3 linked regions of the Macaca mulatta genome follow. Each later gene encodes a partner of the first gene's protein in a complex. Links are inferred from orthologs where the notes say so. Each region holds a gene or a part of one and is shown on either strand. Other genes may lie near its edges. The genes, in order: BANP, IRF2BP2 and IRF2BP1.

Region 1 (7,218 bases):
CACCTGTGCCTGGAGCCCCCAAGCCCCTACTCCTTCACCTCCCTCAAGGCTGAGGGAAGCCCTTCCGTGTGGACCACGGTGCACACATCATCGAGCCACCTGCCTGCAAGAAATTCTAAGCCTCCCTGTCTTTCAAGACCCGGACACTTTTGAGAGGCACTGGCAAGGACTGTGGTGAGCATCCCCCGGGTTGGGTGCAGCATTTTCTCATGATGAGACTGCATTTCTGGCAACACTGCCAGAGAAGTGATGTGTCTCACTGGGTCCTTGGTGTCAACATCTTATGACTGATGCTGTTACCCTGATCACTTGCTTCACGCAATATCTGCTGGGTTTTTCCACCAAGAGGCTACAATTTTATTTCTCCCTTTGTGATGTACATCCTGGGGGAGATACTTTGTGACTATGTAAATATCACAGACAGGAGGACATTAAGTGTGGGGTCCTAGAGGGGATCCCAAAACAGCAAGAGGACACTGGTGCAAAACCGAAGTTCGAATAAGGTCTGTCATTTAGGCAATAATGCTGTGAACTTTCTGGTATTTATATGGATGCCTGGTTCCATAAGATGTCAACATTAGGGGAAGCGGATGAAGAGAACAGGGAAGCTCAGTGAAATATTTTTTCCATCTTTTCTGTAAAGTCAAAAACTACCTGAAAATTAAAAGCTAACCAAGCTGCAGTCTGATTCTGCATGAGAACCTGGGGGGGGGGTCTGAAAAGTCTGTGTTTCTCACCAATACCCAAGTGACACATGGATGCTGCCGGCCCCTGGACCGCTCTGCTAGCAAGGCTCTGGCAAACAGAAGACAGAGCCCACCTCACTACTCACAACTTCCCAGTGACAGTCAGCTACCAGGCAGCAAGATCATGCTCCCAGTACGCTCGCCACTGCTTCACTGCAGGCCCTCCTGGAAACCAGCAGGGCAGACCACCCGCTTGGCACACTGACCCAGCGAGGAGCCAAAGTCAGGGTCTCTGCTACCACACGGGTCTGCCAGGCCTTGCCCAGGTACGCTGGCAGCCCTCCAAGGCCACAGGGCCAGAGCCACCAGCCCACGCCGCAATTCGCAGGCGGCTGTGGAACAGTGGCTTGGCACCTTATCCCATCGACTGTGGGCAATTACCAAGGCCACGAGGCAGCGGGAAGGCGGGGTGAATAGAACGGGCTTTCAAACCACTGCTCAAGGGGAGTGACTGGCCACACAGGTGACCTCCTCCCACCCCATTAACATCATCTTTAATAGAGTGTTATAAACCCACAAGAAAGAACACACTCCTGACAGATGCAGAGAACCCAATCAGGGTAAAGGGAAAGCACCGGGGGCACAGGCGTGGCGCTCCAGGCCTCACAGAGCCCTGCGGACAGGCCAAACCTGCACCTGCCAAGTCGGTCCCGCACAGGAGAGCGAACTCCCCCACGGCCAGCAAAGGGGCTCCCAAAGAAGCGGAGCAGCCCAGAGAAAGTATCTGCAAGTTGGCGCTCCAGGTCCCACAGTACAGGCTCCCAATCACCCGAGGGAAAACTGGACTCTTTCAAAAGCACCCCACAGACCCGGGGCTCTCCGCCAGCCTCCTCCTGCCTCAGACAACAGTAAATATCAGTATTTGAGGAGGACTTGCCATACAGAGCAAAAAGCCAACACTCTTTTTTAAGTGACATTAGTGGAAACAAGAAATCAGAACAAAGAGGAACTGGAAAGAATCCTTATTAGTTTCCCTAGAGTCATGGAGATGAGGCATTTGTAAAACAATAAGCTACTGTGAAAAAGGAACAAGACAAATACATGCTTGGAAATTAAAAATTTGATTGTGAAGACATATGAAAGCCCTCTCCCAGAAATGAGAATAAACAAGACACAGAAGGAAGGATAAAGATGCAACTCCAGGGGTCCATCTAGAACGTCCATCACAAACAGGAACTCCTAAGACAGAAGAGCAGAGCTGGAGAGGAAGAACTTCTCAGACAGAACAAGGCAACTCCCCAGAGCTGAAGGACAAGGCACCAGAGTCAAAGAGTCCCCGGAGTAGGAATCCACACACCTCAGCACACGGTAAAATGTCATTAACACCAAAGAGAGGATCCAAGAGCGTTCAGGGAGGGAGAAGGGTCTCCACAGAGGAAGAGCACCTGCCAGAGCGTCCTGTGGAAATGAACAAAGCCGAGATGAAAACATTTCTGAACGCACCCAGCCGCAAGAAGTATCAGGTGGGCTCGTCTGCAGGCTAAAGAATAACCCATCCAGATGAGAAAAAGGTTAGGGGCTGAAGGAGGAAGGGGACCTGACACTATCCTTGAGATCATTTAAAACAATGCAAGGAGTCGATGGGAACAGAAAGTGCCAAGAGAAAAGCCATGACTAACAGAAAAAAAACATGCTGTACAGGAAGGGAAACACTCAATTTGTGAAGAGAACAGTATTTACATAGGCCTGACACACACAGTCCAGGGGATAGAAGAGGTGGGATATGACAGAAGGGCTCCATCACCCCATCGTAACAGAAAGTCAAGGCTGTGTAAAACCAAGTAGCAGCTTAGAACTAGGTGCAGTCACTCACACTTGTATTAACGGCTACTAAGGAAGCTGAGGATCACTTGAGCTCAGGAGTTCAAGTACGGCCTGGCCAACATCTGGGGATCCTATCTCAAGAAAAAAATGAAAAAGATCAGCTTACTTAGAGCTATAAAGAATGACCTAAAGAAACCACTCAAGATGTAAACCTCTTTGAAGAATGGGGCTGAGAGGTGGGGCAGGGGACCACTGCTTTTCATTGTAAGTCTTTCACTGATGTTCCTATTGTACACATTATATTAATTAAAATACTAAATATATAGGCTTCAAATAGACTGAATTTGAACCCTGGCTCTGTACATCTGAGCAAGTCCCTTAGTGTCTGCGGGCCTGGCCACCTCATCTATAAAGTGGGGGCAGCCTCTGCCTCCCGGGTCATGGTGAAGCACCCGAGATGTTGAGCTGCCCCCAAGCAGCGTGGATCACAAATGGATGCTCTTTTTTAAAAAGATTAAAGCCCCAGCCTGGGCAACAAGCGAAACCCCCTCTAAAATACAAAAATACAAAAATTAGCCAGGGGTGGTGGTGCCTGTGGTCCCAGCTACTCGGGAGGCTGCGGTGGGAGGATCACTTGAGCCAGGGAGGCCGAGGCTGCAGTGAGCCAAGATCACCACACTGCATTCCAGCCCCGGGGACAGAGTGAAACCCTATCTCCAAAAAATAAAAATACTAAAGCCAATGATGACAGAATCCAACATCGCAAGAATATATTCTTATTTTAATTGCCAGACACGGGAAGTGGACCTACACACAGAATTTTACCGCGTTTTGGTGTTTTCTTCTAGCACAGGATATTTATTTGCGAGCTGCGTGTTAAATGACCAGATCCAGTTTTTCTTTGCTGTTTCCTGAGCTTACTCAGAACCACTCACTACTCCAAGTTATTTTTCTGTCCCCCAAGAACTTCCAGCTAAAAGTGGCCCCTACGACTGCCTCCTCTTATTATTTACTATAGTTCTGCCATCGCCATCAGGCCCTGGAGTACGTTCCTGGGCAGAACAGGCAACTCCAAACAGGGCAATTATCTGTTCCACATCAACAACTGCGTGACCCGCGCCCTCCCCGGTCAGGGTGCAAGCTCGCTACCCTTCAAAGCCCACACTCGCTCCACTTGCTCACAGTTCTTCAGGGATGATGTATTTCTCCAATAGCAAGGCAACCCCTACCATCTCATCAGTGAAAAACATCAGTCCTCTATCAAGGTACTCTCTCCAATTTGCTCACACAGTGTGGATGGAATGTCATCTACTTTCTGCATCCTAGGGGGAAAAAAAAAAAAACGGCCACCTTTCTTAAGGACTAGATCACAGAAATCGCACAAACGTGCTGGGGAGGGGGCACCCCGAAGTCCTCGTTCATCGGGGCCCCTAGGGGGACGGGCTGGGGTCCTCGCCGGGGTCGGCGGTCGCCCCGGGATCGTCCCTTCCGCTGCCTCGCCAGAGACTTGCATGTGCGAGTCCCGGGCTATGGGGCTCCAGTCCACAGCCACGGAGGAGGCACAAAAACGGTGCCTGTCGCTCCCGGCTGGCTAGCAGGAGCGACCCCTTGGGAGACTCGGTCCCCAGAGGAGCCTGGGCGCGGTTCTAGGCCCTTCCAGTCTCCCCGCCGTGGCCCCGGGTCCTTCCCGCGGGGCTAGGCCCGGGGCAGAGGTCGGGAGCGCGAGGCCCCCGGGCCGGGCTGCGGCAGCCGCGGCTCAACGGACGCCGGGGCGCGGCGGGGCCGGGGGTGCGGAAGCGAGGAAGCGGGAGCCCCTCTTCCGGGGCGCGGCCGGGGACGGGGAGCGGGGCCTGGGGGGCGCTCGCCCGGCCCGGGCGGTTGGAGGCGGCGGGGCTGCGGCGCGGGCGGCCCGGCGGGCGGGAGGAGGAGGGAGGAGGGAGATCTCGCTCTCGCTCTCGCCCCGCGGGAAGGGGGAGGCGGAGGCGCGACCGGCTGCGGGAGCTGCAATTACCGTGTGGGCTGCGGAATTCTCGTGGTGTTTGTCGGGGAGATGCGATAATGGCGTCCGTCCTCGCGAGAGAAGCCGCCGCTCTGCGCAGGCGCCGCGAGCCCCTCCCCGCGACGCTCTGCCCCCGCCCTCTGCGCAGGCTCACCGGGCGCGCGGGGCCGGGGGCGGGGCTGGGGCGAGGCCCCTTGCGGGCAGCGAGGCCAGCTGCGCGCGCTTTTCCCGCTCGGCCTCCTGGTGAGCATGCGCAGGCGGCCTTCTTCCGCGATGGTACCGGCTTCCCAGGGTTTTTTCCCCCCGTTTTTCGCCCACGCACGTGGCCTGCCTGAGAAAAATCACCTCAGTGGACGGTGTGAGGAATTTGCATCTTCTTTGAGACGGAATGAATAGGCATTAGCTCCCTCAACGACTACACCTCCCAGGGTGCCCTGCGCAAGCGGGGAGCCATGCATTCGGGGACTCGTAGTCCCTTCGTCTGGGCCATGCCTGCCGGGACTTGTAGTGTCTCCGGACTCCGGTCGTCCGTCTTGTCCCCGCACCAAGGGTTGCTGGGACTTGTAGTTACAATGTCTCAGGTGGGCTGTGCGCCCCCAGCGGGTCCTGCCTGCTGCTGCGGCGGATCCTGCCCTGAGGTTCCGGAGCGCTTGGTGGCGTTTTCCCAGACATAAGTGGTCAGGGGTCCCCAGCGTCTGTCCGGAGGGGCCTGAGTGCACGCGCGCGGGAGTTAGCACGCACAGCAGTGACCATGGTCTTAGATATGTCCTACAGCTAACACATAATATAAATAAGTGATGGCGGCCGGGCACAGTGGCTCACGCCAGTAATCCCAGCCCTCTGGGAGGCCGAGGTGGGCGGATCACCTGAGGTGGAGGTTCGAGACCAGCGTGGCCAACATGGCGAAACCCCCCTCTCTACTAAAAGTACAAAAATTATGCCTGGCCTGGTGGCGCGCACCTTGTAATCCCAACTACTCGGGAGGCTGAGGCAGGAGAATCGCTTGAGCCCGGGAGTCGGAGGTTGCCGTGAGCCGAGATCGCGCCCCTGCACTCCAGTCTGGCGACGGAGCGAGACTCTGTCTCTAAAAAAATAAAAAAGTGATGGCGTGAATGTGCGCACGTTATCGTTTATGTAGAATAAATGTGCATTTGTGGGTAATCATAGGAAAAAATTCCCAAACTATAGGGCAATTCCCAGAAATGTCATTTCTGGTTATCTCCCTCTGCTTATCTAGAATTACCTTGCCTTTCATTTTCCTCTTTATACTCCTGTTTTCTGAATTATTTGCAATGAGCAAGAATGCCTTTGATCTCCCAAGCACAGGGCAAGAGAACTATTTTCACTGGGAAAAACAAAATGCTTTACCTTGAATTTCCTGCCCAGCTCCCTTTTGCCAATAATAATAACAGGATTCGGTGCAGTCATGGGCTATGCGACCTTGGGCAACCTTACCGAGTTAGTCTCCTCTAGAATTAGGCTCGGAGGTTCCCCTGAGGCCGGTGGCTGGGTTACTTCGCAGTAAAAATGACTTACAAACACTCCAAGGAGGAGCCTTGACAGAATGGCAGCACTGGGACAGGTGTCGATCTGAAGATGGGACCTGTCCTTTTTCAACATGAAGATTGGCTCCAAAGAGATTAGAAAAATTGCCCAGCGAGGCCACAGGGCTGGAGAGAGGCACAAGCCGAGTTTGCAGTACAGAACACCTTGCTTAGAGTGTGGTGTCCACTCACATGGAGGGAAAGGGTGCGTGCGGGAGCTGCCACGGAATATTCCCTCCAGCAGTGGGGACAAAACATGTTCTAGGGAGACACGCCTTTTGTCTCCACCTCCACCTCAATCACAGCTGCATTCAAATACTAATACTTGCCCATGTAAGAATTCTTAGCATCCATGCCTGAATATCTGGCTCGAAAACAGACCAACTTAGGGTGATGTTGTTCGTGTTATTTCAGAACATCCCCAAGTCCGTGTCTGGAGCTGCCTTTTCCCTATCCGCAGGCCTTGTGCAATGCTGGGCCCAGCGTCATGAACAGGTGTGAGTGGACGGGAGAAGGAACCTGTGGGCAAAGGTGAATCTATCTGTGACCATCCAACAAGCTACAGTGAGATTTGTTGAAGGCCACTGCTGACTAGGTCATGATCAGAAATGAAGCCAATCAAAACTATGATTGTGCCTATGCTGCAGTTGTCGATTGTTTTGTTTTGTTTTGTTTTGTTTTGTTTGCATCAGGATCTTGCTCTGTCATCCAGCCTGGAGTGTGGTGGTGCAATCATAGTTCACTGCAGCCTCCACCTCTCGGGCTTAAGTGAGCTTCCCATCTGAGCCTCCTGAGTAGCCGCGACTACAGGCACGTACCACCATCATTGCCTAATTTTTTTGTTTTTTGTCGAGTTAGAGGTCTCAATACGTTGTCCAGGCTGAACTCCTGGACTCAAGCGATCCTCCTGTCTTAGCCTCCCAAAATGTTAGGGTTACAGGCATGAACTACTACACTTTTTTGTTTTTGATGGTTTTAATTTAGTTTTTATTTTGCTGCTCTGGAAGCTAAAACAGAGGAAGACACTGTTCAATATTGGCATATAGGCTGGGCGCGGTGGCTCAAGCCTGTAATCCCAGCACTTTGGGAGGCCGAGACGGGTGGATCACAAGGTCAGGAGATCGAGACCATCCTGGCTAACATGGTGAAACCCCGTCTCTACTAA
Region 2 (7,335 bases), on another chromosome or scaffold:
TTTACTGATGCAAAATAGTGATCAAAAGAAATTAGTTTACAAAAAGACTTCTAAAAATATTTTGAGAGGTGGGGCCTATTATATAAAACCCTTAATTTCTTTAATTTCCACTAGTTTATCATTTTTTTCCAGAACAGTATTATTCACTTGGTATTTCAAACACATGTAAGAAGGAAATTACAGGTTTCCTCCACCCACATTTGGGCTGTCACTGATATGCCCAAGGGCAGTCCTGGCAGCACCACGCGGCTGTTACTGTCATTGTACCATACTGTATTCAGCACTCACTAGAAACAGGGTATAGGTGATAGTATCAACAGCAATAGCACTACAGGTAAATGATAAACAAAACAGAAACAAAACCAATCCCACAATCTCCAAGTTCACCTGGACTGTAACTTCTCTTGCAACTCTTTCAAAATAAAGGACAACAGCAACAACAAACAGACCTCTAGGGTGTTTAAAAAGATGAAGTGGCGCTGCAGAGCTGGGCGCTGCTCAAAGATGGCAGTGCCATCTTGTACACACCACCATCCATTATAACCGCCTTCCATCACTGGAATTGTGTCTTATGTAACCAACTAGCATGCAGCATTGTAATCTTACAACTGATCACGTGGACAGTGAACAGCGGTCAACTTTGTCTTTAAAAAAAAAAAAAAAAAAAAAAACCCCAAAAGACCACACAATCCTGAAAATTTCCCAGCAGCACTCTCAGTCATCAGTTATCTCAGGAACTGAACTTTTGAACAAAACAGAGATTCAAAATCTACTTTCCTACTCCTCTGAGGACAATGCTTCAGGGTAAACTGGTATTTCCCAGTGGCATGCCCACTTGACAACATGCCCGTTCACTCATTTCCTTTCCTTCTCCACCACTTGGCCTCCGGCCTGAGAAAGGGGCCAGCAATAAGGAATGACAGACAGTAAGGCAATCTTACAATGTCAGAAAATGTATTTGGCTTTTTTTTTCTTTTTAAAATAAGTGCATACAAATACAGCTAGAAGCATTTCTGATTTGCCAAGTGCTCTAAAAAAGCAGCGCAAGTCACAGCCTACATAGAACGGTAACTGTCACCAGGATAATAAAGCACAAAGATATGCTAATAACGTTAACAAAAGAAAAAAATGCCTTTATAAGTACATACCTTTTGTCGTCAAAAAAAAATATAGAAACACAATGTATTCAAAAAAAAATCAAAATTATACAGCCATGTTTATGAAGTCTACATTTCCCTTGTCTTGGATATATATATATATGGAGATATATATATACAATTCAAGCAGTTTTAATTAAGGGTAATCATTGGGTTTTTCTGAAACCGGAAAGTCACGAGTCTCTCTCTTTTTTCACTTTCACATCTCCAGCAAGGATGGTTGCAATTTCCCCTTGCATAAAGGCCCAGGGGACATTGGAGCCCACAAGAGGGCATTTTTCCCCACTGGGACAATAGACCTCTCCACTAGCTCCCTGCTGTTTGATGCTTTGTCTGGAGCAAGGGAAGCAGAACTTGTGCGAAGGGACGGACGGGCACTGCACAAAATGGGTGTCCTCCAGCCGCTCGTGGCAGAGGGTGCAGCACAGCGGGGCACTGGCTGCCAGAGAGGAGTCCGGGAGGCTGGCAGGGTGCACTGGCTCCAGTCCTCCTGTGTTGCCTGCTCCCTGGCCCCCCACCTCTCTGGGGCCCAGCCTTCTTTGGTTCATAGAGGACGGAGAGGGCGGACTGTTGCTATTCCTCCTGGTAGTGGAGTGAACCTGGTTGGCATCTTTTGAGGCATGACTGCCCCCTGCATTGTCTGCTACTAAGATCAGGGCTGCCATGGGGGACTGGCCATTCTGGGCCGCTTCAGGCGGTGTGGTCCGGTTGGAATGAGGTGAGGCAGTGGGTGGTGGCGGAGACACAAAAGAGGATGTAGGAGTCATGGGGATCTTGAGCCCTTCTGTGGATGTGGACAGCCACGGCTGGGCCTCTCCATTGATCTTAGGGGGCCCGACTTCACCTTCTGGTTCTGGAGAGGGCTTCCTTTTCCTTGCTGTTCTTGCAACTGGAAACACAAAGAAATAAAAGGAAAAAGGAAACATAAATGGCGGTGCACTGGAAGGGATCCTTCCCTTCCTAACCCGAAACAAAACTCGTTACAGAATTCCTCCTCTCTAAAAGCACAGACGGAAAACCCTCCTACGAGTTTCAGGTGCACATACACGCAACTTGAAACATTTAGGCGTGTGGGGTTCTGAGGCAGTAGACTGAAAATAAAACGGAGCCACTGAAAATGGCAGGCTTGTAACTGCCTGTTTTTACACATGCACAAAAGTACCCTAGTTTGCACTGGGCATGTGACTGCTAATGTCCCGCAATAGGTTAAAAGGTGACTAGTGCCCTCATGCTCCCATCCAAGAATGTGCTGGGAAAGGAAAACCCCGTGTCAGAGCGTATCAGCCCAGTCTGACTCATCTCTGTTATGCTGCTTCAGCACATGAACACGTTGCCACTAAGCACTGGTTCCGCCTCAGGCAGATCAGGAAGTGGGGTATTTGTTGTTTCTGAGCTGGGGTAAAATGGTGAATCGAAAGAACCACCCCTCCTCTGCTCTCCGTCCCCTTTTCTCCCCTAGAACCCCTCACTTCACAGCCGCCCCTACCTGCTTTAGACCCGTTGGCCCCGTTGGCCTCGAAACCCAACAACCTGCCTGCAGTCAGGGCCGGCTCCTTCTTAAACTTGCTCTCGAAGGGCCCCGAGTGGCCGTGCTGGTGCAGCGCCAGCAGCGTGTCGCGCACGGTCTTGGGCCTGTTGACCCAGTCCTGCTCTCCAGACCCGCGGCTCTTGCCCGCACCTTCCGCGCTCAGCTCGGCGGCCCCGGCCGCGGTGGACAGGCTGTCCGCCGGGCCCCGGTGCGCAGGCGGCGGCGGTTGCTTCTCCTTGGCTGCTGCCTCGCGCTGCTCGTGCTCCACGGCCGCGCTGCTCGACACGGATGCCGGCCGCTTGTGGGCGCCCAGGTCGGTGGGCTGCGCGGAGCCCAGGCTGGCGGCCGCGGTTCCGGACACCGCGGCTAAGGAGGCGGCAGCGCGGCCGCCGAGGCCGAGCGCGGTGGGCAGCGGCGTGGCCGAGCCGTTCATGAGCGGCACCAGGGTGGGCGGCACCGCGTGGCCGCGCCGCGGGTTCGGGCTCTGGCGATTCAACTCGGGAGGCTCCTCTAGCTTGGAGAAGCCGTTGGGCACCAAGATGCCGTTCACGGGCGGCGGCTGCGGCGTCGGCGGCTGGGCCAGGCTCGCGGCCGGACGACTGCCGCCGAAGTCAGAGCCGAGGCGCGGGGGCCGCTCGGCCGCGGCCGCCAGGGGGTAGCGCTCCAGGGCCTGCGGCGCGCGCGGGGCCGCCTCGGGGCCGCCGTGGCCGAGCTGCTGCTGCTGCTGCAAGAGGATGTCCTTGGCCGAGAGCGGCGGCGGCTTGGCGGCGGCCGGGGCCGCGGCGCCGGGCGGGGAGCGACCCTCCGGGAAGCAGCCGTGCGCCCGCTTGAGCTGCCGCGCTGTCTCGATGACGAACTCGACGCGGTCGGCGCCCTCGTAGTTGACGCAGCCGCGGCACACAGGTTCGGTGAAGTCCCAGATCATGGCCCAGGGCATGCGGGGCAGATCACACAGGTAGCACGACTGCCGCCGGGACGCGGCCGCCACCGCCACCGCCGCGGCCATGTCCGAGGAGCCCGCGGCGCCGGAGGAGGAGGAGGAGGGGGCGCCGCCGCCGCCCCCCACCGGCACCACGCGCGCCCTCCTCCCCCCCCAACCCCGCGTCTCCCCCACCAGCGGCGGCGGCGGCCGCAAAGGCGGCGGCGGCGGCGGCAAAGCCCGCGAAGGCTCGGCGCCCGCGCAGCGCCCCCGGTGCACGAGGGGCGGCGGGCGCGAGGCGAGGGGCTGCAGCCGCGGCAGCAGTTCCCCCCGGCCGGCGCGGGCGCGGGCGGGCGGCGCGGTGCGGCGGTGCGGCGGGCGCGGCGGCGGGGGCTCGGCTGGAGCCGCGGCGGGCCTCCAGACCGGGGCGAAGACGGGCCGCGCGGGCGCGGGGGAGCGCAGCAGGTCGCGGCGGCGGCCGGCACAGTGTGCGGGGCGGGGGGCGGGGAGGCCGGGGGGGCAGGGGGCGGGGGGCGGCCGCCGGGGCAGGCTCAGCCCGAGCGGCGGGGCATGCCGCGCCGGGGCGGCGGCGGCTGGGCGGCGTGGAGCTCGGGTGCGGCGCAGGCCCCGGGTCGCTCCGCCGCTCTCTCACAGCTCCTGGCGTCGCCGCTCTCCAGCGCCAGCGTCAGCGGCCAGCCCGCCTCAGCTCTGCCGCCGCCACCGTCGCTGCTGCTGCTGCCGCCGCGGCCGCTCCACTTCTACAGACTTGATTCTTCGACAGTCTCGCACAGCGCCTGCGCGGGCCCCCTCCCCTCGGGCGCGTGCCCGCCCTCCCGCGCGCGCGCTCCCCTCCCCCCTGCGCGCCGAAGGAGCGCTGTCGGGAGAGCCGGCTCTGTGGCGCCCGCCCGCTCGCGGGGCAGCGCGGCAGCGCAGCGCTGGTGTCCCCTCGGAACACGGCGCAAAGTGGTCGTGTGCTTTTCCTCCACTTTCCCTCACTTCACGCCCCACCCGGCTGTCTCGACCACCCTCAGGATGTTTTCCCCTGGTGTGCCTCTGGACCAAATCGTGCTAAAAGCCATTTCTTTTTCTTTTATGCAAGGCCACTTTGTCACTTGGTTTCCGTCAGTCTCCTGAGAATGGGGATTTTAGGTCTAGCGTGGTTCACAGTTCTGGTTTTTTAGGAGTTATACTTGAAAGCTCAATGTCGGACACAAGAGCATGAAATCCGTCACTGGTGCTTTGCATTTGCATTTGTCTTGGGAAGGACATACCCGCCGCCTGCCCCTTTTACTAACTAGGGAGAATCTGGATGTTCCCAAGCCCAGCACCACGTGCACACGCCGCCAGCTGGCTCGCGCGTTTTCCACGGAGCCCTCTGGAGGGGAGGGAGCGCGGTTCGGATTAGCAGCTCGCGAACACCAAGTGCTGCTCTTAGCCCCGTCCAGCCCGCCCTGTTCAGCTAGGGCCTCGCCGCGCCAGTTGCCCCGGCCGCCTTATGTAGGTCTGCGCGGCGGGCGCGTGACGTGGACTCGGGACCGTGGGCGGCCGCCGCCGCGTGTGCGCACGCTCCGCGCAGACGTGCCTCGGCGCCGCTGGCACTAGGGCCTCGTGGAACGAATGCACATTCCAGGGATCCGGGGTGTACGGCCAGCGCGACCGCGTCACAGCGCAGGCCCCACCCCCTTCGGCGAGTCTGGGCGTCCAGGCGCCGCCCCGGGCCCGAACTTGGACTCGAGGTGGCGGGAGGCGCGGGCGCGAGTCGTGGGGGGAAGTCCTGCTCGCCTCCGCGGGGTCCCCGCTGGCCGTGGGGGCGACCGGCTGGCTGGCTCGCCGTCGCGCAGGGCGGGCCGCCGATGGGGGCAGACTTGCGCCCTATATGCCACCCAGGCTGGGGTAAGCCCAGCCCAGCCGCGCGGCCTTCAGCTCTGCCACCGTTGGCAGCCTCAGACTCAGCCCAGACTGAATTGAATGCTTGAGTTTCGCACTTTTATCGGGAGGAGGAGCTGGTGTGTGTTATGGTAAATCACTTTGGGCTGGTCGTTAGTCTCCCTAATACACGTAGGCTTAGTCGCTCTTCAATTGGGACTTTTACACTTCAGCTCTTTAAGGGCGGCCTCTGGGGCTGCTTTTGTTGGGAACACAGGCCCACAACTCTCCCTTGAGACTGGAATGAGCTGGTTAAGTGTGGGAAGAACAGGGTACTAATTATATTATCTTTCCTACAACTGGATTGGTAGGTGGAGAGAAAAAAAAAAATCCTGCTGACGTTTCTCTCTAGTCGTTGCTATTGAAAATACCAGGTTGCTTCAAAGGATTAACCACAAGGAAGAGGAAAAACACCCTTAGAGAAACAGTGGAGGGAGCTGCTTAAAACACATGAAAAAACCTGTTCGAAAATGGCACAGAAAACGTAATGTCAGACCTAAATGTTTTTACAGGCTAACCTTGAATGCCTTTTGGGGATTTCCATAGAAGGTGCGCTTGCTTTAAAGGTCTCTCAATCTGTTCCTGGATCTTGCCCTGCAATTGCAATCCTGCCTCACCCTCTCCAAGCTGGGAGAACGGGGCCTGCCCAGATCCTTCCCGGGAGTAGCTGGTGCCAGCGGGTTTGGTCACTCCCAGGCCCTGCTGTTGCACACCACTTTGAAGACCTGTCCCTTTGGTCATCCTCCTCAGAGACCCTGTGACACTCATTCCAGCACATGGCTTCACCCACTGCGTCACTGCCCAAAGGGGATGAAGTCCAGTCCTTGTGCTGCAGAGAAATGAACCAACTCAACGCCCCCAAGAGACGGCCCCACTAAGCACTGACTGAAACATATTAAAAGAAAACACAACCCACCATTAGAGCTGTGGCCTAATTATACTCATTTCTCTGCAAGCTGGTACTGTAATGGCCTCAAGGGAGAGCCTGCCACTCCATCCCAAAATAGAATTAGAGATACAAATTCTGCCTTGAGAGATACTAAGATCTTTGTAGAACAGAGCTTTTCTTCTCCAAAGGAAGAACATTTCCTTCTTACTTTACACTGCCAGTTTCATGTCGAAACTGAGTTGTTGTAACTTCCCTAATGAAATGCCCGATGGAAAATGGAAAGGCTATTTTAGTTCTGGGCTCGATCTGGAATCAAGGGGGTTAAGGCTGGATCCAGGGCAGCAATTCCTTATATTGTATCAGAAGTCTTTCATGCTGCCTGGCCTTTCATGTAGCTCTGAAGCAGCTTTATCGATGTATGCTAAGTAAACATAGCTTTGTTTTTGTCTTCCACCCACCGTTCCCTCCCGGCACAGACTGGAGTTGGATCCCGTCCAAAGCGGCTGCTGCAGCAGTTACAGCCGCCTCCTCCACACACAGGAGCAGGGTTTCTAGGGTGAGGCAATGCGTCTGCAATTCGCAGAGACAAGGCAGGAATTGTAATTGTAGTTCATCATGTGATGACTTATGAAAGAGGAAGTTGGTATGTTTTAGTCACGTAGACTCTGCCCTCTTGCTTAAGGCACCAGGTCCTCTCAGAAGAGAATTATGCTCATCTTTGCCACCCAGAGTCAAGGTTACCGGGTTGGCTGCAGTGTGCTCCTGCACATTCATATACCGACAGGCAGGCAGATGCTGGGCCAAGTGTCGGCGAAGCAGCGGGATGAGGCTGGCTTTTCACCAGAACACTGAAATGTTGCAATTTGTCTTAAGGACTAAAGGAAATATTCTATGGAGAACACTCCTGCTGAGACTA
Region 3 (7,317 bases), on another chromosome or scaffold:
TTTTCTCATCTCTTCTTTATTGCCTTCTCTCTGCATCTCAGTCTCCCCTCTTTTGCGTCTCTGTTGTTGGCATCTCATCTGTCATCTCAGTCTGGCTCAACCTATCAGAATATCGTCCATTTCCTTTTCTTTTCTGTCTCTCCTTCTCTGTGTCTGCCTCATCTCTGAGGTTCTCTCGAGTCTCTCCCTGTCTCGCTGGGTCTCCGGCTCCTGTGTCTCCTTGTCTCTTTCAGTGAGCTGGTCTCCGCATCTCTCCCTCCCCACCTCTGTTGTCTCCCATCATTCCCTGAGTGTCTCTCTGTGTTTCCCGTTTGTTGCGAAGTCTCTGCACCTGCTCCCTGATTCCCAAATAAATCCAGAACCCCTCCACCCTGGCCCCACCCTGGCACTGGGGGAAGGGGGGCTGATCCAGCCCCCACACCCACACAGGTCAGGCCTTCTGCTCTGTTAATGGTTAACTCAACCTCTATCTAGAATACACACCAGCCAGGCTGGGGGTGACTCCCCTGCCCCCCACCCACTTACCAGCTGTTCTTAAAGGACCAGGTGTCCTCCACAGCAATTTAGCTCCAACTGCAGCATAGGAGCCAGGTGTCTAGAGGCCTCCAGCACTAAAGATTTGGGGATGGGTGAGATACCCAGCACTTGGGTCTGCAGAGCTGGTCAGGGGAAGCCAGAGGCTTGCCTGGGAGGGGAGCCCCGGCACAGAGCTCCATCCAGGTCTCTCTTGCCCTGGGCTTATCACCTGGTGTATTTAATCAGGGGTGGTTTTCCCAGCCCTGCCCTGAGCCCAGGCTGGCAGTGCCAGGGGTGGCAGAACACCTGAGAGCTGACGGCTGGGGGGTGAGGAAGGATGGGACCCCTTAGCCCAAGAACAGAGGGTCCTCCAGATGCGAAAGTTGACGCCCTAGGGATCCCTAATATCTGGGAGTTAGGACATGTAGGTATGCAAGTATGGGTGGGATCCCTGCCTAACCGGGCTGATGGGGCAGGACTTTAGAGGCCTCCAGATTTAGGTGATGGGAACCCTGGGTTCCCGAGGGGATCTGGGGACAACCTCGGGTCCCAGAGCTGTCTGACAGTGCTGGGTGGTGGTAGGACAATCATTCCCTATTTCGGTCCATCCGCGGGCCTTTGAGCCCCGCATTCCCCCTTCCCGGAATCTCTCCACCTCGGCTTGGCTGGGGAGGCCGCAGGGGTGGGGGCTGGGCTCTTGGGGCCGCCCCCTCCCCTTAACCCCTGCTTTGCCGCAGCCCGCTCAGGCCCCGCCCCGTGACGCCAGCGAGCAGGAAGTCCTGGTTAATGATCAGCCACCCGGACAGGTGCGGGACAAGGCCGCGCACATCAGAGGCAGCCGCGGGGCGAGTGCCTTTCGCTCTGCTCTCTAGGGTGGCCGCCGAAGGGGCTTGTCTCCCGACACGAGGGCGAGGAGTCCAGTTGTGGCTTCCCAAACGTCCGCCTCTGGGGCACCACCAGAGGCGAGAAGTAGCCAAGTTGTTTCTAGGCATCCTGTTAGTTTACCCCGTGGAGGTAAATTTCCTCTTTCCTCAGGTAGTCCCTCTAGCAGTCTACCCTAAATTCTCCCTTCTACTCAGCAAGAACCCCCTGCCCGTTTCTTCTAGGAAACCTCCCTCTGCCTCTTTCCCCTCCCCACGTAGGCGCTGAGTCCTCCACCTTCCAGGTAGAGATAGAGAATGGGCCAGCTACAGAAGGGTAATCTACTCCCGAGACTGTCTGTGGTTCCCCTACAGGAGCCATCCCCTCTCTGAGCCTCAGTTCTTTCATCTGGAGAACGGGCCGATGGCTAAAACGTGAGCAGTGGGTCGCACTTGCAGAAGGTCGGCCGGCGGGACGGCCTGGGTGCAGGGCGCCACCTGGAGGCTACCGCGCAACGTCTTCGCCCTCGCAGGACTAGTTCAGTCCCAAAGGGGGCGCAGCATCTCACACAACCAAGGGACCAAGAAGAGAGAAAAAAAAAAACCAACCCATCTTTCGGTTTATTGAAGGAGCAGAAGGGGGCGGGAGAGGGGAGCAATAAAATGCTTTTGCCTCGTTTATAAAGAGCGAATTTTCAGGAGGTCCCTTCTCAAGGAGGAGGGGGGCACCTCTTCCCCAACTACAAGCAGCAGCAAAGCCAAGCCAAGGACAGAGGGAAACTGGAGGGGCCAAGGGACCCCAAATATCCCCTCGGACAGGAGCCACAAGCTTTCTCCCCCCACCCACAATGCATCTACCCCAGGGGACCCATCTGGGTGGAGGAAGGGAGTATGTACACAGATAGGGGTGGCACTGGGCTGGGTCGGGGAGGGAATAATTTATCCGCGTCAGCGGTGGATGGCAAAAGGGCAGAGGGCAGTAGCCTGGAGGCAGTGGTAGCCTAGGGGTCCCGTTCTTTCTTAACCTTGATGTCTCCAGCAAGGATGGTGGCGATTTCGCCCTGCATGAAGGCCCAGGGCACGGAGGAGCCGACCAGCGGGCACTTGTCTCCGCTCGGGCAGTATACCTCCCCGGCCGGGCCCTGCGCCTTGATGAACTCCCGGGAGCAGGGAAAGCAGAACTTGTGTCCGGGCACCGAGGGGCACTGGACGAAGTGGGTGTCTTCTAGCCGCTCCCTGCACAGGGTACAGCACAGGGGAGCCCCAGGGGTCGCCCCAGTGCCGCCGCCACCCCCGCTGACAGCTTCGGCCCCCGCTGTGGGACTGACTTCTGCTTCACCGTTGCGGGCCACAAGGCGATGCTGGGTTGGCGGCTGGGCAGTGGAGGAGGCTGCAGGGCTGGCGCCCCCTGGACGCACAGGCCCTCCACCTCCGCCAGGGTCCTTGGGTGAGTGGCCCAGGGCTTCGGCCACATTCTTCAGGGCGGCAATGGGCGAGGGCACACCAGGGGTCTCAGCGGAGTACGGACCTCCAGGTGCCACCCAGTGCCGTTGTTGCTGCTCCTCGGTGGTCATCTTCCCAGTCGCCTCGCCCTCCGGCTCGGGGGATGCCTTGCGACGGCGCGGCGTGGGCGCCAGGTTCCGGGATGGGGCTCGCGGTGGTGGGCCACAGAGAGCCGCAGGGGCAGGCTCTGGGTACTGCTGGGGCAGGGCCTCCGCGGGAGCTGGCTCGCGAAAGCTGCGGACGCCGTCGGTAAGCAGCTCGCCCAGCTGCCGCCATTCTCCTGAGCCATGCCGGCGTTCATATTCGAGGTACTTGAAGCCCGAAGAAGCCAGTGCCTTGCCCGGCTCCCGCAGAGCATCGTGGAACATCTGGCGAGCCACCGCCAGGACGCCGGCATACACATTGCCGGAACCACAGGGGTATTCGGTGAAGAGCTTCAGCTCGAATTCGTATCCTGGAGGACGGGCAGCAGCATCGAAGGCGAACACTCGCCCCACCAGCCCGTGATCCTTCTTGAAGCGCACATTGAACGGGGCGCAGGCGGACAGCGCCAGTAGCTGTTCCCGCACTGCTTTGGGGCGCCCGTGCCATTCCTCTGCCCGGCCCCGCATGGCCTCGTTCAGTTCTGCCAGACAGTCCGCATTCCTCTGCTGCTTCTCTTTCTCGAAATCGGAGCCGAAGAGGGGACGGGCAGGACTCAAGCCGGGTGCCAGCGTCAGGCCTCGGCTTCCCAGGCCAGACACTGCAGCTGCCAGCAGCCCAGGGGGCATCAAGCCAGGCATGGAGCCAAGCAAGGCCCTTCGCGCCCCCTCAGCCACGGCCTCCTCACGGCCCAGCCCATTGGCCAGGCGGGACCCCAGAGTGTACTCCAGGGCGGGCGAGGGCAGGGGGAGGCGGCCCGATGATGTGGCCCTGTCATAGCGGTCCTGGCCTGAGACGCCGCCGCCGGTCCCTGACGGCTGGGGCTGGGCCTGCGGGGGCGGCAGCTGGGGCCCCTGTGCGGCGGCCGCAGCCAGGTCCTTGGTGGCCGGGTGCTTAAGGGCCGGGGGCCCGGGGGAGCGGCCCTCGGGGAGCACGTGGCTGCGCTTGAGCTGGCGGGCGGCATCGATGAGCAGTTCGATGCGGTCCGCGCCCTCGAAGTTCACGCAGCCGCGGCACACGGCCTCGCTGAAGTCCCACACCATGGCCCACGGCATCTTGGGCAGGTCGCACAGGTAGCACCACTGGCGGCGGGACGCCTGCACAGACGCCATGGCCCCAGTCCGCGCGCCGCCCGGCTCCCGCGTTCCACCGGCCGCCGACGTGCGATCCGCGCCGCCGACGTTCGATCCGCGTCCCCGGGACAGCGCGAGCCACGGTCCGGCCTCCGGCTCGGCCTCCCCGCCGGATCCAGGCCCGGCCCCCCTTCCCCGCCCCCTGGGCCCTAAGCCTTTCTGCTCACTCCCGCCTCCCTCGCAAAGGCAGGCTGAGGCACGTCGGCGCCCCCGCCCGGTCCGGGCTCCGAGCCGAGGCGCACAGCTCGGGCCCCACGATGGGCCGCGAGCGCAGCCGCCTCGGGCTCCCGCCGCTCTCGCCGCCGCCGCTGCAACGGCCGCCGCCGCCTCCACCTCCTTCTTCTGCCCCAGAGGCCGCTTCGCAGGGAAAGTTACATAACGCGCCAGCAAAGCCTTCTGGGAAACGTAGTCCCGCCGGGGCCGGCTCTTAAAGGGAACGGCGGGCAGAGGCGGGCTGGGGGGGTCGTCGCCTCTCCGCGCGCAGCACTTATAACCGTCTCCGCGGGGCCGGAGTTCGGCGCGCCGCAAGATGCTGGGACACAAAGGTGGGAGGCGAGTTTGCAATACGAATGATCAGAGCTACTCCGGATTCAGAAATTTTGGGGGTGGGTGGACAGGCTTCCAGGATTCCAACTTCTGCTCCGATTTGTTGTGCAGCTTTAGGCAAAATGTCTTGCCCTCTCTGAACCTCAGTTTCCCCGCCCAGCAAAGGTGGGCCAATGACGGATTAGGAAGGTAGCAGCTTCTGGGGCGGGGCGGAGAAGCCCTGATTGGCTTCAGAGCAGGGAAGGGAAACTGGCAACTAGGTGGGGGTGGGGGTGGCCACTTGGCACTTCGTCCTCCCCCGGAATCCTAGATGTATGCCTCTGGGGCCCGCCACAGCCAGCGAAGGGAGAGGACTAAGGGCTCCGGAGCCAGAGCCTTGCCTCAGTTTTCTCTGCTAAAGAAGGGGGGCGACTGACCGCCCTCTAACCCTGTCCCAGCTCTGCCCGCGCGCTCTGGTCTCTAAAGGGTTACACCGTCGGCTGCTCGGCGTCCTCCACCCGCTTCACTACAATTCCCAAAATGCACTGCGGACGCGGACAAAGTGACGTGCTTCCGCCGCCTGGGAGGTTGGGGTAGGCCTTTCAGATTCACGCTGCTTTACCCGCGCCCCCCCCAACCTTTCTGGGGGTTCTTTACGTGCATTCGGAGCATGGCGTTTGGGGGACCCTTATCCTCTGTTGCTCCCCAATTTGAGGGAAGAGTAAGGGGTTAAGAAGTGACGGGCAAGAGGAAGGAGTTGCTGGGGAAGGGCGAACACCAGACTACCTTTCCCCAACCCTGAGCGCTCACTACCTGCAAGGCCCAATCAGGCTTTGAGGACCCTCCTGTCTTCTTTCCCAGGCATTGGGAACACGACGGGGCTGTCTTTGGGGAACGGTGGAGGCGGGTCTCCAGGTTCTAACCCACAACAGCCCCTTTCTCTAGGCCTGGGTCCATGTTAGGTGCTCAAAGATACTTGAATGATGTGCCAGTTGGCCCTGGTTTTCAGTCTAGTGAGGGGCTGCTTGTCCCTTCTCCCGTCCCACTGGAACCGCATCAACTCTGATTCTGTTACCCAGACTTCACAATTTCAAAATGGTTTCACAATTTTGTCTACTACCTGTATTTGAACACTTTTCTCCCTTAAAAAAAGATTTATTAGGCTGAGGTGAGAGGATTGCTTGAGTCTGGAGGTAACAGGCTGCAGTGAACCATGATTGCGTCACTGCACTCCAGCCTGGGCAACACAGCAAGACCCTGTCTCAAAAAAATAAATAGAAATAAAAAGATCTATCTATTTTTACCTCATCCTAGGTAATACGTTCACAATCATGGGTTTCATCTACTGGTTAGCTTAAAAAAAATCAGTGAAAACTATCGACTAATTCAAGAAGACATTCATATGTCACTTAAAATTGCCTTTGGGCTATTATTTACGAAACTCTAAAGGGAGTTAAGACTTCTGGCCAGATTCAGCCTTCAGGTGGACTGGACTGGCCTCTGACCAGCTGTGGCCTTGGGCAAGTCTCTAAACTTCTTGGAAAAAATGGAGACCCCCTCCAGTCTGTTTTTATTTGGGTACCTTCAGATTGAATGCAAACACGCATATAAATGCTTAGCTTGGTGCTTGGCACAGAAAAGTGCCACAAGTGGAAGTTGTTTTTAAGCTGGACAGTTATTCAAATATTCAGCCCCTCTTCCGTGGTGGGCAATGCTGGGGACATAGCAGCTGAGACAGGCTTAAGCCTTGCCCCTGAGAAGCCCCAGCCTGGTGATGGAGGCAGATACTAAATTTACTCAAATGATGAACTAAAATTTGTGATGACTGCTGTGGGGAGTGTGTGTCTGGAAAAGCTTTCCTGGCCAGGCATGGTGGCTCATGCCTATAATCCCAGCACTTTGGGAGGCCGAGGAGGGCGGATCACTTGAGGTCAAAAGTTCGAGACCAGACTGGCCAATGTGGTGAAACCTTGTCTCTACTAAAAATTAAAAAATTAGGCCGGGCGGTGGCAATGGCTCACTCCTATAATCCCGGCACTTTGGGAGGCCTATCACTTGAGGTCAGGGGTTTGAGACCAGCCTGGCCAACATGGTAAAACCCCATCTCTACTAAAAAATACAAAAATTAGCCAGGTGTGGTGGCGCACACCTGTAATCCCAGCTACTCAGGAGGCTGAGGCAGGAGAATTCCATGAACCCAGGAGATGGGTTCACACCACTGTACTCCAGCCTGGGGGACAGATGCAAGACTCCATCTCAAAAAAAAAAAAAAAAAACTAAGTTAAAATAAAAAAATTAGCCAGGAGTGGTGGCATGCGCCTGTAGTCCCAGCTACTTGGGAAGCTGAGGCAGGAGAATCACTTGAACCCAGGAGGCAGAAGTTGCAGTGAGCCAAGACTGTGCCATTGCACTCCAGCCTGGGCAACAGAGGGAGACTCCATCTCAAAAAAAAAAAAAAGTATAATCTAATTATAGGAAGAAAGACTCTGAGATCTTTATGCCCATTCTACAGGTAAGGACACTGGAAGTCAATGGTTACACGGTTGGCCAGGGCAGCACCAGCACTTGAGCCACGTCTGAGTCCAGAGTGGTGGTGATTACCTATTTTGTTACCTGGCCCTGCAGCAGAGTAAAAGAAC

The links.
Region 2: BANP (region 1) and IRF2BP2 share a complex: the UniProt entries of both Homo sapiens proteins name them as parts of the corepressor complex. The link is inferred for Macaca mulatta from reciprocal best matches to the Homo sapiens genes BANP and IRF2BP2.
Region 3: BANP (region 1) and IRF2BP1 share a complex: the UniProt entries of both Homo sapiens proteins name them as parts of the corepressor complex. The link is inferred for Macaca mulatta from reciprocal best matches to the Homo sapiens genes BANP and IRF2BP1.

What each region holds. Positions count from the first base shown.
Region 1 is NC_133425.1:83,339,230-83,346,447, reverse strand, and holds the start of BANP (protein BANP), read right to left. Parts: upstream 4,604-7,218; 5' UTR 4,522-4,603; intron 3,833-4,521; 5' UTR 3,819-3,832; coding exon of another isoform or gene 3,798-3,818; 5' UTR 3,761-3,797; coding exon 3,740-3,760; exon of another isoform or gene 3,661-3,739; intron 2,642-3,660; exon of another isoform or gene 2,560-2,641; intron 1-2,559. UniProt on the Homo sapiens protein: Controls V(D)J recombination during T-cell development by repressing T-cell receptor (TCR) beta enhancer function. Binds to scaffold/matrix attachment region beta (S/MARbeta), an ATC-rich DNA sequence located upstream of the TCR beta enhancer.
Region 2 is NC_133406.1:14,467,309-14,474,643, reverse strand, and holds the start of IRF2BP2 (interferon regulatory factor 2-binding protein 2), read right to left. Parts: upstream 4,384-7,335; 5' UTR 3,692-4,383; coding exon 2,644-3,691; intron 2,047-2,643; coding exon 1,331-2,046; 3' UTR 1-1,330. UniProt on the Homo sapiens protein: Acts as a transcriptional corepressor in a IRF2-dependent manner; this repression is not mediated by histone deacetylase activities. Represses the NFAT1-dependent transactivation of NFAT-responsive promoters.
Region 3 is NC_133424.1:58,436,618-58,443,934, forward strand, and holds IRF2BP1 (interferon regulatory factor 2-binding protein 1), read right to left. Parts: upstream 4,523-7,317; 5' UTR 4,133-4,522; coding exon 2,378-4,132; 3' UTR 1,969-2,377; downstream 1-1,968. UniProt on the Homo sapiens protein: Acts as a transcriptional corepressor in a IRF2-dependent manner; this repression is not mediated by histone deacetylase activities. May act as an E3 ligase towards JDP2, enhancing its polyubiquitination. Represses ATF2-dependent transcriptional activation.